Linked DNA regions of Drosophila melanogaster. The protein of the gene in region 1 interacts with the protein of each later gene in a pairwise test. Each region holds a gene or a part of one and is shown on either strand. Other genes may lie near its edges.

Region 1 (5,310 bases):
CAGCTTAACGCTCCAAAGAGGATGGTGGGCTTTAAACATATTCACGAGTTCTTACATCAACAAGTTCTCTTGAATAGGAGGATCGCGATAACGTGGTAACATACCTTCAGTTAAACTTTCCACGGTGTATGTTAACTGGAAGATGCCGTCGGTGTTCGTGGCCACGCTACCCGAATAGTAGAAGTCCAGCCCCCTTAAGGTGAAGCTCTCCCGGGCTCCGAGGTTCGTACTAAAGCGATAATCGCAGTCGGGAATACCGCTGAAGACGCGTAGCTGGGTATTACCACTGCTCGGGATCAATGGGTAAGTGTGCTGCAAGGGTGGAAGATATACGTGCAAGCTGGTACTAATATATTAGATCGGAGCAATACCAGAAATCTCCGGAATGATATCGTATAAGACTATCATACTGAGTAAAATCCAGGTCATAGGTGAAAAGAAACAATTAAGAGTATTAAAGCAGATAGAGAGACAACAAGAATAGTAACAACGACGGATTATATTATTAATTTTCTTTTATTAGATTAACTAGTTGGATGTCTTTTCATATGCAACAATGCCCGGTCGCAGCTTCACTTACACTTAGCTTGGAAATGGACAAAGGCCACTAAGGATTTACATACATATACACATCTACAAGTACAAATATATATATATATAATACACAACGCGGGAGCAAGCAGGACGAATCGGTTTGAGGTCTACTCGTTGATGTCCTTGCCCTTGTTCTCGACTCCGCCTTCGAGAGCGGGAATCTCTGTTTTGGCATCACCCGCCGTCAGGGGCTGGGCCTCCTCCACCTTGTTCGGATCGTTGGGCACATAGTAGTAGGCCATCACCATGAAGATCAACATGTCGGCGAACATGAGGCCGGCGAACAGGAAGAACTCGCTGGCCTGCGATTCGAATAAGGCGGCCTCGGCGATGACGACCACAATGACGTTGCCGAAGGCCACCGTTAGCAGCCAACAGGCCTGCAGGACACTCTTCATGCTGGGTGGTGCCTGGGCGTATGAGAACTCCAGTCCCGTCACCGAGAACATCACCTCGCCGAGGGTCATCACCACGTACTGCGGCACCAGCCAAAGGATCTTTACCGAGTTGGGGCTCGTCACTTCCTCCAAATTGGCCTCGTAAATGTTGTTGTTATCTTTAATCAGGAGTGTGTACACGCCGCCGGTGTGAACATCGAATGTTCCGACGTTCCTTTCGCCCACCATGACTACATACTCCGCCGAATTCACACGCGTGAGCAACGTTTTGCTAGCCAGGTCGTCATAGACCACCTCTCCCGTGCTAGCCTTTTCCCAACGAATTGACAGCTCCTGCGGCACATTAGCGACGTTTCGGATCAGCGGATGGCTCTGGCTCGGCTTGTCCACAAAATCCTCCTCCCAGTAGTATCCACTACCATTTAGCGGATTGAGGAACAGAGACCAAGCCGTATTATCAGTAAGGACTTTAGGTATTTTGTCAGCGCTAATGGTACAAGCTTCACTTGCACTGCTGAGCGAGAACTCCACGTCCAGCGAACCGGGTGCGTAAATATCCTTGTTGGTATAGGCATTCAACGAGGTCACCGTCACATTTTCCGCTCCCGGAATGTTCGAAGTGAAGAAGTAGTCGCAGTTGTCCGCGTTGAAGATGCGCAGTTGGATGTTCTGGCTGTAGGGCAGGTCGGGATAGGTTTTCTAACGACAGCAAGGCGTGCAACGAAAGAAAAACGGAAAGTGCAGGTGCAGGTACAGTACAATACAATATATATAAGCACAGCAGTTAAAAATACTTTAAAACTTCCCAATTAAATACTTTCAGAGCTTTAAGTCCCAAGCCAACAAGCATTTTCGAACAATTACTCACCTCCAAGCTAAGCTCCACCACTCCGGAAATGATGAAAGCAATGCCCGCAAGGATGCCGCCCATGGTGAGTTTCTGCAGCGGTCGTCGGATACCCACTAGTTTCAGGGCCGGATAGAGGGCCACATCGTACAACGGTATAAAGATTAGGATGAGCAGAGGATTGAGCACTTGCAACTGGTCGGGCTTGATGTCCCAGGAGCCCATGTCGCCGTCCATTCGGGTGGCCTGGAAGGTCCAACGGGAGCCCTGCTGATCAAACAGTGCCCAGAAGACCGGAAGTGGCAGGTAGAGGAAGAGGACTCGCATAAGGACCTTTACATCGTCAATCAACTGGCGGTCGTACTTTTTATCGGCATAGTCCAGCCAGTGCTCCCGCGGATTGGTCTTTTTCTCCTTACATTTGGTGGTCAGGGCTGTCCAGATGGTACTGCTCACAAGCACCACCATATTTCCGGCCGGTGGCTTCATCTTGTACAGGGATCGTCCCAAAACGAAGATGATCACCGACACAATCATAAGTACGGCCGGTACTCCAAAGGCCAATGGATAGCAGTTAATGTCGTCAAAGCAGGACACGTCCTCGCGCAATATTGGAGTCACCGTGGTGGAGATCAGCGATCCGGCATTGATCGAAAAGTAAAAGAGCGAGAAGAACGAAGTGATCTGCTTCACCTGCTCCGGCACCTTAAACTGATCGCCACCGAATGCCGACACACACGGCTTAATGCCGCCTGAACCAAGGGCAATTAACGCCAGGCCCAACATCGTAAACGTTTCCATGGGCAGGTTAAGTGGTCCAATGGCACCTAGGGTCAGCAGCACCGATCCGCATATATAAACCAGCGATAAATACAGGATAGTCTTGAATTTTCCCAGCCAAGAGTCCGAAATGATGGCTCCAAAAACGCACAGGAAGTACACGAACATGGTGAAGATATGGAAGACCACGGTGGCGGTATCATCAGAATAGCCCAGAACTCGACTCAGATACAGAACCAAAACAGCTGAATGGAGTACGAGCGATTAGCAGAGATTTCATTGTAAGATACTTTGCGATTAACTTACTCCTCATGCCGTAATAGTTGAAACGTTCGCAGAATTCGTTACTGATGATGAAGAACACGGACTTGGGGTAGGGCAGTTTCTGTGGGTGTCAATGAAAAGGTAAGTACAGTGTTTGCTTCAATACTTGTTAAAGAGCACCAATGACGATTACCTTCTGCTGACCCTCAGTCTCGGAGACGTTCTTGAAGTCATTGGTCTCTGCCAGTTCCTTGCCATTCTGGTCGGGCTCCTTGTCATTCTGGTCGGGCTCCTTGCCATTCTTTTTAGCGATCTCGGGCAGCTTCTTGGCCTCCGCCGTGCCGTTGCTCTCGCCGGACGGTTGACTCTCTGCAGGGGCTGCAATCGGGGTAGTGTCTTCAACGGTCGCAACACTCGGGGTGACTTCTTCTGCAGCGGCAGCACTTGGACCGGAGCCATCGGGACTTGCAGGAGCTATTTCGGCCGCGGGAGAAGGCTCTGGTTCAGCCACAGGCTCAGCCGCTGGCTGTATTTCTGCGGACGAAAGAAGGATCCAGGTTAGTAATTCGAAATGCAATAATCGAAAACTTGGAGAGCCCACCCAGCAGGGGTACTTGCTCCGCCGGCAGCTCCATTTCATATGGCCACTGAGATTCGTTAGTGATCTGAGGATCGGCGACATTTCATCAGAAACCGAAACCGAGACTTGTGGCCTTGTGCTTGACACCTCCGCCACAGATAAGGACTGTTCTATATTTGAACGGGCCTTTACTTCAACGGCGGGCGTGTGAATTCGGTGGCCCGGCATAAATTATCCAGCCTTAGGCCCCGAGCTTTTACGAGGTTTACGCCAGTGGCGGGCGTCAGATAACCCAGCTAGGGAAGATAGCTCTCTCGGCGATCGCCTCCACACTTTGACAAACTGGCTGGGAGTATGGCTTTCCACGCCATAAACAACATGCTGATTACTGACAATGCTGCGTCTAAATGTCTGCTGGAGCTTTAATGGTCATGTCCATGTGGATCGAATGGTAATTGCAGCTGGTGCCTAGTGCAGCTAGTCATGGTCATGGCCATGTTCGGACAACTGGATCTGTATCTGTTCGATGGTTGATGATTCAGGAAGCGAACTGCGAACTGCGAAAGTCCCGAATGGCGACCAATGAATGGGCCTTATCTAACTGCGATCCAGAATCGGTTCGCAGCTAATCCATCGATGCTTTATCAGCGTTTATGACCGCTATTTGAGGCAGTAATGTATAGCAGCCATCACATGGCTCCATAAACCGTGGAAACAATGCTATTGCACGCACTACACTTCACATCAAACATCCATTAACATAAAGCGCCTTATCGCAGGGAAACAGAGATATACAAAATATACAAGTACCAGACGTGTACAGCATTGACCCGCTTCGGTGGCCGTTTGAAGTTGGTAGACCAGGCCTGCCACTCACATTCACACTCAAAACCACTCATTCATTCATTCATTTTGCAGCCGCTAATAGCGTAGTGTTTAGTGCCAGGGAACTGGCCAAGTGTCACCGAAGGACGGAAAATTGATCTCCAGACGGATCTCCACTCAATCCACTCGATTGGGCTCCATAAAAGCCGTAGACCAATCGGAGTCGCTGATACTCCGTAATTTTCAACAAGCTAATTGAAAAATGAGTACACTGAGGGCTTTACCTATAAATAATTAGATAAGCCTGGTATGCCCTGAGTGCAGTTGTAAAGTTTCGGAGGGAAAGTGCTGTGAAAGTGTTCTCAATTTCACTTTCTCAAGATTTCTTTACTTAAGCTCTAAGAGCCCTGGGACCTATAGATTGATTGATTGATTGATTGATTGATAGGTGGTTAGGATGTGCGTTGAACTATCGCTAACTGTGATATGCAGAGAAATTCTTCTGGAATTCGAGAACGGATGAACATAATTGGATTGGCTATATATAGTAGTGAGTGATTCTTTAATGACATTGCATATCGGCATTGATATCGCATAATCGTCGGTTTGTTCATCGATTGGCCATCAAATAGGTTGTAAATTTCACACCTACCCAATAACATACATAATCGCCATGAAGAGGGTCTAAAAGCATTCCAACTGATTTACAAGCGATTAGAACGAGCGCGATGTTTATTGGTCCAGCGAAATGATAAGCGCCGCAGGAGCTGGCGCTTTGGCCCAGTTTTAATTACAATTGCTTTTTACGGCGGCAAAGAAACAGAATTATTCAATGGAAGTTGTCAGATAGATAAGTTCGATGTTTTCGGTAGTGAGCAAAACTTTGATTGTCTTGTTCCGTTCGAAGCGGCAATTACGACCCCATATCGGCACCGCCCCATCCAATTCGACCGGGTTCTGCTCCGCATGGAGCAACCAAATACGAAATGGCAAATTCCAGGCGAACTACTCACTCACTAATT
Region 2 (4,759 bases), on another chromosome or scaffold:
GCCCACCGCTGCAGTACCCATGCTATATGGGTATAAATATTCCAACTCGAGAGGAATTGATTGCCAACAAGCTGAACCCCGACCAACTAGCTAGGCATGTGGGCGCCGACAGTCTGGCTTATCTTAGTGTGGAGGGACTAGTGGAGGCTGTCCAACTAAAGCACCGCGATGCAGGCGATAGTAAATCCAAGGGAACGGGCCACTGCACCGCCTGTCTCACTGGTGAATATCCCGGTGGGCTGCCCGATGAGTTGAGCTGGTGATACCGATTGAAGCTCATAAGTGCCAAAAGACGAAAAAGGCTTTTGGAAACCAGTTTTGCACGCAATTGCCCACTACGAAATAACAAAAATTGCAGTATAAATAGCCATAGAGGGCTCGGAATTACTGTCACAAATTTTGCATTTAGTTTATCTAGCATTACAGCCCACCCATTCCTATTTACACTCTACCTTATTAGATCTTAAGTAAGCAGCCCACGTGCTTCCCCAAGCTAAAAGACACCGATTTATGTCTGGTTTTGCCTCTGGAACTTTACTCATAGTACAAAATACATAACTCTTTGTTGCCCATCTTGAATATCACTAAAATTTGTTGTTTGCAAATGCCAATAATAAAGACACTTAGACTATTGATTAAACAGACTCTATTTTCTCTCTCTAGCTATCGAAGATATGAAATTACGTGCATGATATCGAGCAGTATGCTCCAAGGTCCGAAGGCCAGTTGCTCTGTGCGGCAATGCACCATTTCCTAAGGAGGTCATGGGTTCCACAAGCACTGGAGGCATTCGGATATGATTCTTTTGAATTTTAGATGATTAATTGGTGATAAGTCCACTGCAATAAATACTTAAAAACAGATTCAATTGTCGTGCTCTGTTGCTTTGCAAATAATCATTCTTATCAATACTGAGGAAACACTTTAATTTTACACAAATAATGAGTTGACCAATGATATGGCAAAATTTCTTGTCTAAGGTTTACTTTAACAACAGAAACTGGCGTTGAAGTCGTAAATAGTTTGAAGTAACATCCGAATATGTATGTACATAGTTTTTATTATAACTTATGCTAGTCCACCATTTGTATTATATCTGTATCTTAAGACTCCAGCATATTCTCGAAGTCCTTCAGCTCCAATTCCCTTTCAATAACCTGTGTGTAGAGATTATCAAGCGTTTCCTGCATTCGTTGTTTGAGTGTGGCATTCTGAATGGAAGCAATTTCCGTTGACTTTTGCACCTGCTGCGCTTTCAGTTCACGAATCTGGCGCGTCAGTTGATTGATCTTCTGCTGGACCTGTTGCTGCGTGTACTGCGGCTGCGGTTCGTCTATGAATTCCATGTTCTCGAACTCCTCGCGCTTGGCTAGCATTTGGCTATCGTAGAAGCCACTGGGAGCAGCAAGGTTGGAGCTTGATCCGGCGGCGCTGAGCTTAGGACTGCTGGCTTCATGCCCAAACATAGACTTGCTGAACACGTTCTGCTCCATTTTCACTACGCCCGCTCCAGTATTACTGCCACTAGCGCCAAAGAAGTCCGACATTCGTGAATCATCAGCCGAGAGTCGTGAGGATTCCTCCATCACCCGCCGCTGCATGGTGTTATTGCCCCGATCGGGCTCATCCTCGTCATCCGTGCTGGACACTTCCTCGCCGAAGATGTCGTGGACAGCAACTCCCATGTTCGGCGCCCGGTGTGAGGGAAAGTTGCTGGCTTCGTCATCATCGGACTCCACTTGGAGGTGCCGCTGGGAGCTCATTTCCATGATCGTCTTTTCGCTGGCATGCATGGTGCTTTCGTCCTGCAAATCGTCATCCGCATCGTTGTAGGGTTTGATGTCCGATTGCTCCAGTTCATCCATTGGCTTGTCCTCTTCGTTTATGATTTCATAGTCAACTCTGACAGCCTCGTTGTCAATGCGCAGCAGATGTTTCACTTCCTTCTCAATCTCGGGAGCTTCGACATTCTTTTTCTTCAGAGTTTTGCGGAATCGTCGTTTTCTCACATTCTTGCACGGCGGTGTGATGCCGTGCGGAAAGAGGTATTTTTTGTCCACCTTGTTGGGGTCCTTCTTTTTGTTCTTGTTGGGCGACTCCTTTTCCGTCTCGTCCTCCCGCTCCTCCTTGCAAATGAGTATTTGGCAGATGTCTGCCGACTTGTAGAAGCTCTTGTTGTCAATGGTCTTGTAGCTCTCGACGACGGTGGGCAAATCCACGAGTTTCGTGTACAGTATCTGATCATCTATTCGCACTTCACCGTACCTCAGATCCGGATCCAGTTGGATGGTCAGCCGGTCCTTAATGGTGCCAGCATTTATTGCCTCATGGACCGTGTCCGCCAGTTCCTGCGGAGAATCCGTCAATTTGCACGGCTTGTTGTGATGTTTGTTTGTGCTATGTATGGCTTACCTTCGGCACGCGCATGATAAACTGGCTCTCCAGCTCTACGCCATCATCCCGGGCCTTGTGCTCCGCTTGCTTAACCTTGTCGCTCTTCTTTTCAAACATTTCAATGCGATTTTTCCAGAAAAATACAACTTCTTTTGAAGACACTAAATGCTCATTAGAGATGGGAGTTAGATGGGGCACCGCTAGTGATGGCATTCACGTCACAGTTATCGCTGCGAGCACGACGAATATTTAAAATGGTTCACACTGCAGCCGCATCTGCAGAAATATAAGCCCTGTATACCGCAAAATGGCAAGGCATTTTATTTTTTAATCTTTTTACCAACAAATTTAATCATAAAGGTGAAGACCGAATGGGTTTGCCGTACGTTGAAAGGGGATGAGCCGCACTGCTTTGAATATCGGATGTGAGTCCGCTGAACTATCGATAAGGCAATCGTCAGCCAACCCTGCTCCAATTTCGTCTTCTCATCCCTTTTGCCATGACGGAAAACACGAATTGATGTGGATTTCTACTAATTTATAACATAAAAATACGTCAAAAGTTGAACAATCAGAGATCGAGCTAGTCGAAGGTCAGCAAGCAAGGCGGACGACATGCAGGAGAAGTGGTTACTGCCCGCACTTTCGCTGGCGCTCCTATTGGGCACCTGCTCGGCGCTCTACGAAGACCAGATCAAAAAGTTCGACTGGTGAGTGTGGTACGATATCTGACCATTGACCCGGCGCTAATACGGCGGATATGTGCGGCTTTTGCAGGCGAGGCGTCAATGTGGGAGCACTGAAGCAGTCTCGCGTCGACCTCAACCATTTTCAGCCGCGGATTCTGGTCACCACCTATGAGGGAGTGGTGGCCAGTCTGTGCGTAAAGACCGGCGAATTGGTGTGGCGGCAGGTGCTCGAGCAGAAGCCGCGCGGCGACGTCAAGCTGCTCCAGGTGAGCGGATTCGCCGATGACAGCAGCGACACGGCCGCCGCTCCGATGGGCAGCAACATGGGCTTCGACATGCTCACCGTTCAGGGACACGCTCCTGCTTTGGTGCGCGGCTGGAACACCAATATGGGTGCCCTTGAGTGGGAGTGGTCCATCATGCCCATGAACACGGAGCGGGCCCAGGACGCCATGTGGATCTACAGCAAATCCGTGCTATATCACGTGCTGCCTGCCTGGCGGAGCCACCTCGAGGTGACGGCGTATTTCGCCAGCTCGGGCCACAGCACTGGCAGCACCAGCAAGGTAATAGCTCCTTGGATCACCTCAGAGAGCTGCACCCTTAGCGGCACCTTCTACGTTTGTACGGACGGAAAGCAGTTGATTAGTTTGGATCTCGTTTCCAAAAGCGGTCAAGTAATCCGTACTTCGCTCGAGGCGGAGCCGAAGGGAAAAACTCAGGCCTTGACGGTGAGGAAAAAACTTTGCTATTGCTTTTATTGAAAGTGAAGTAATAGATTGTTGTAAGTGAAGTTATAATTCGTCCAAACATTTCTATAGGGTCTGAATGGTGTTGTGATTGTGGATGGGAAGCCAATTAGTGTCAACAAGGACCAATCGATCTGCGGTGATCTGCGAAGCTCCAGCTTCGCCGTGGGCAGCTTTAACTATCGCAAAGTCTTGGCCTATGCAGATCTGTCCTCTGGAGTACGTTTAAACTTATATTTACTGTTCTATTCTACTATTTCTATGTGAAAACTAATTGTTTCTTTCCCTGTGCGTATGAACAGATCCTCAGGATCAATGCTCTGTATTTGGATAACTGTGCACCGGCAGCGGAGTTGGAGCAGAGTCTGCCATTCCCCGAGCATTTTGGCACTCCGTCGCTGAGCAACTTCGACTGTAAGCAGAAGCGCAATGGCGAGGGCAAGAACTGTCTGTTTTTGTTTAGCAGCACCTCGGAGTCCATCGTGGCAGTGCAGCATGGACGCGTTCGTTGGTCGCGCGAGGAGTCGCTGGCAAATGTGATCGACTCGCAGTTTGTGGATCTACCGCTTGCCGATACTGAGGGCACATTGGAGAACGAGATGAAGGGCAAGGCCGGTGAGTGTACTTGACTTATGCACTACTTTAAGGTGAACTCATAAAATTTATTATTGAAAATTCATACCAAAAGGGGATTTCACAAGTTTTGAGAGTAAGTGAACGTTCACAGCAAACTAATCATGCAATATTGTTTGTTACATGTTTATCACTTTTAATTTTGTGTTTTTTTTTTTAATGTTTATTGAACGTACCACTAATCTAAAAACGAATGTTTACTAACAAATTCAAGCATGCTTCGCTAGTTTAAAGCTAAGTGTATTACTTTTACTTTTTTACTGTCCAATAATTAATTTCCAATGTAAACTAAAA

Evidence for each region. The genes of interacting proteins can lie anywhere in the genome.
Region 2: the proteins of CG2930 (region 1) and Taf7 interact in a two-hybrid assay, tested with the Drosophila melanogaster proteins (one large-scale study listed by BioGRID).

Annotation. Positions count from the first base shown.
Region 1 is NC_004354.4:3,874,009-3,879,318, reverse strand, and holds CG2930 (uncharacterized protein), read right to left. Parts: upstream 3,554-5,310; 5' UTR 3,519-3,553; coding exon 3,485-3,518; intron 3,418-3,484; coding exon 3,077-3,417; intron 3,005-3,076; coding exon 2,926-3,004; intron 2,865-2,925; coding exon 1,861-2,864; intron 1,692-1,860; coding exon 702-1,691; 3' UTR 502-701; downstream 1-501.
Region 2 is NT_033777.3:7,905,473-7,910,231, reverse strand, and holds Taf7 (TBP-associated factor 7), read right to left. Parts: upstream 2,900-4,759; 5' UTR 2,735-2,899; intron 2,671-2,734; 5' UTR 2,608-2,670; coding exon 2,413-2,607; intron 2,349-2,412; coding exon 1,104-2,348; 3' UTR 511-1,103; downstream 1-510. Other genes in the region: Prat (phosphoribosylamidotransferase), read left to right, coding at 1-263; EMC1 (ER membrane protein complex subunit 1), read left to right, coding at 3,010-3,104, 3,172-3,814, 3,905-4,051, 4,135-4,447, 4,521-4,541.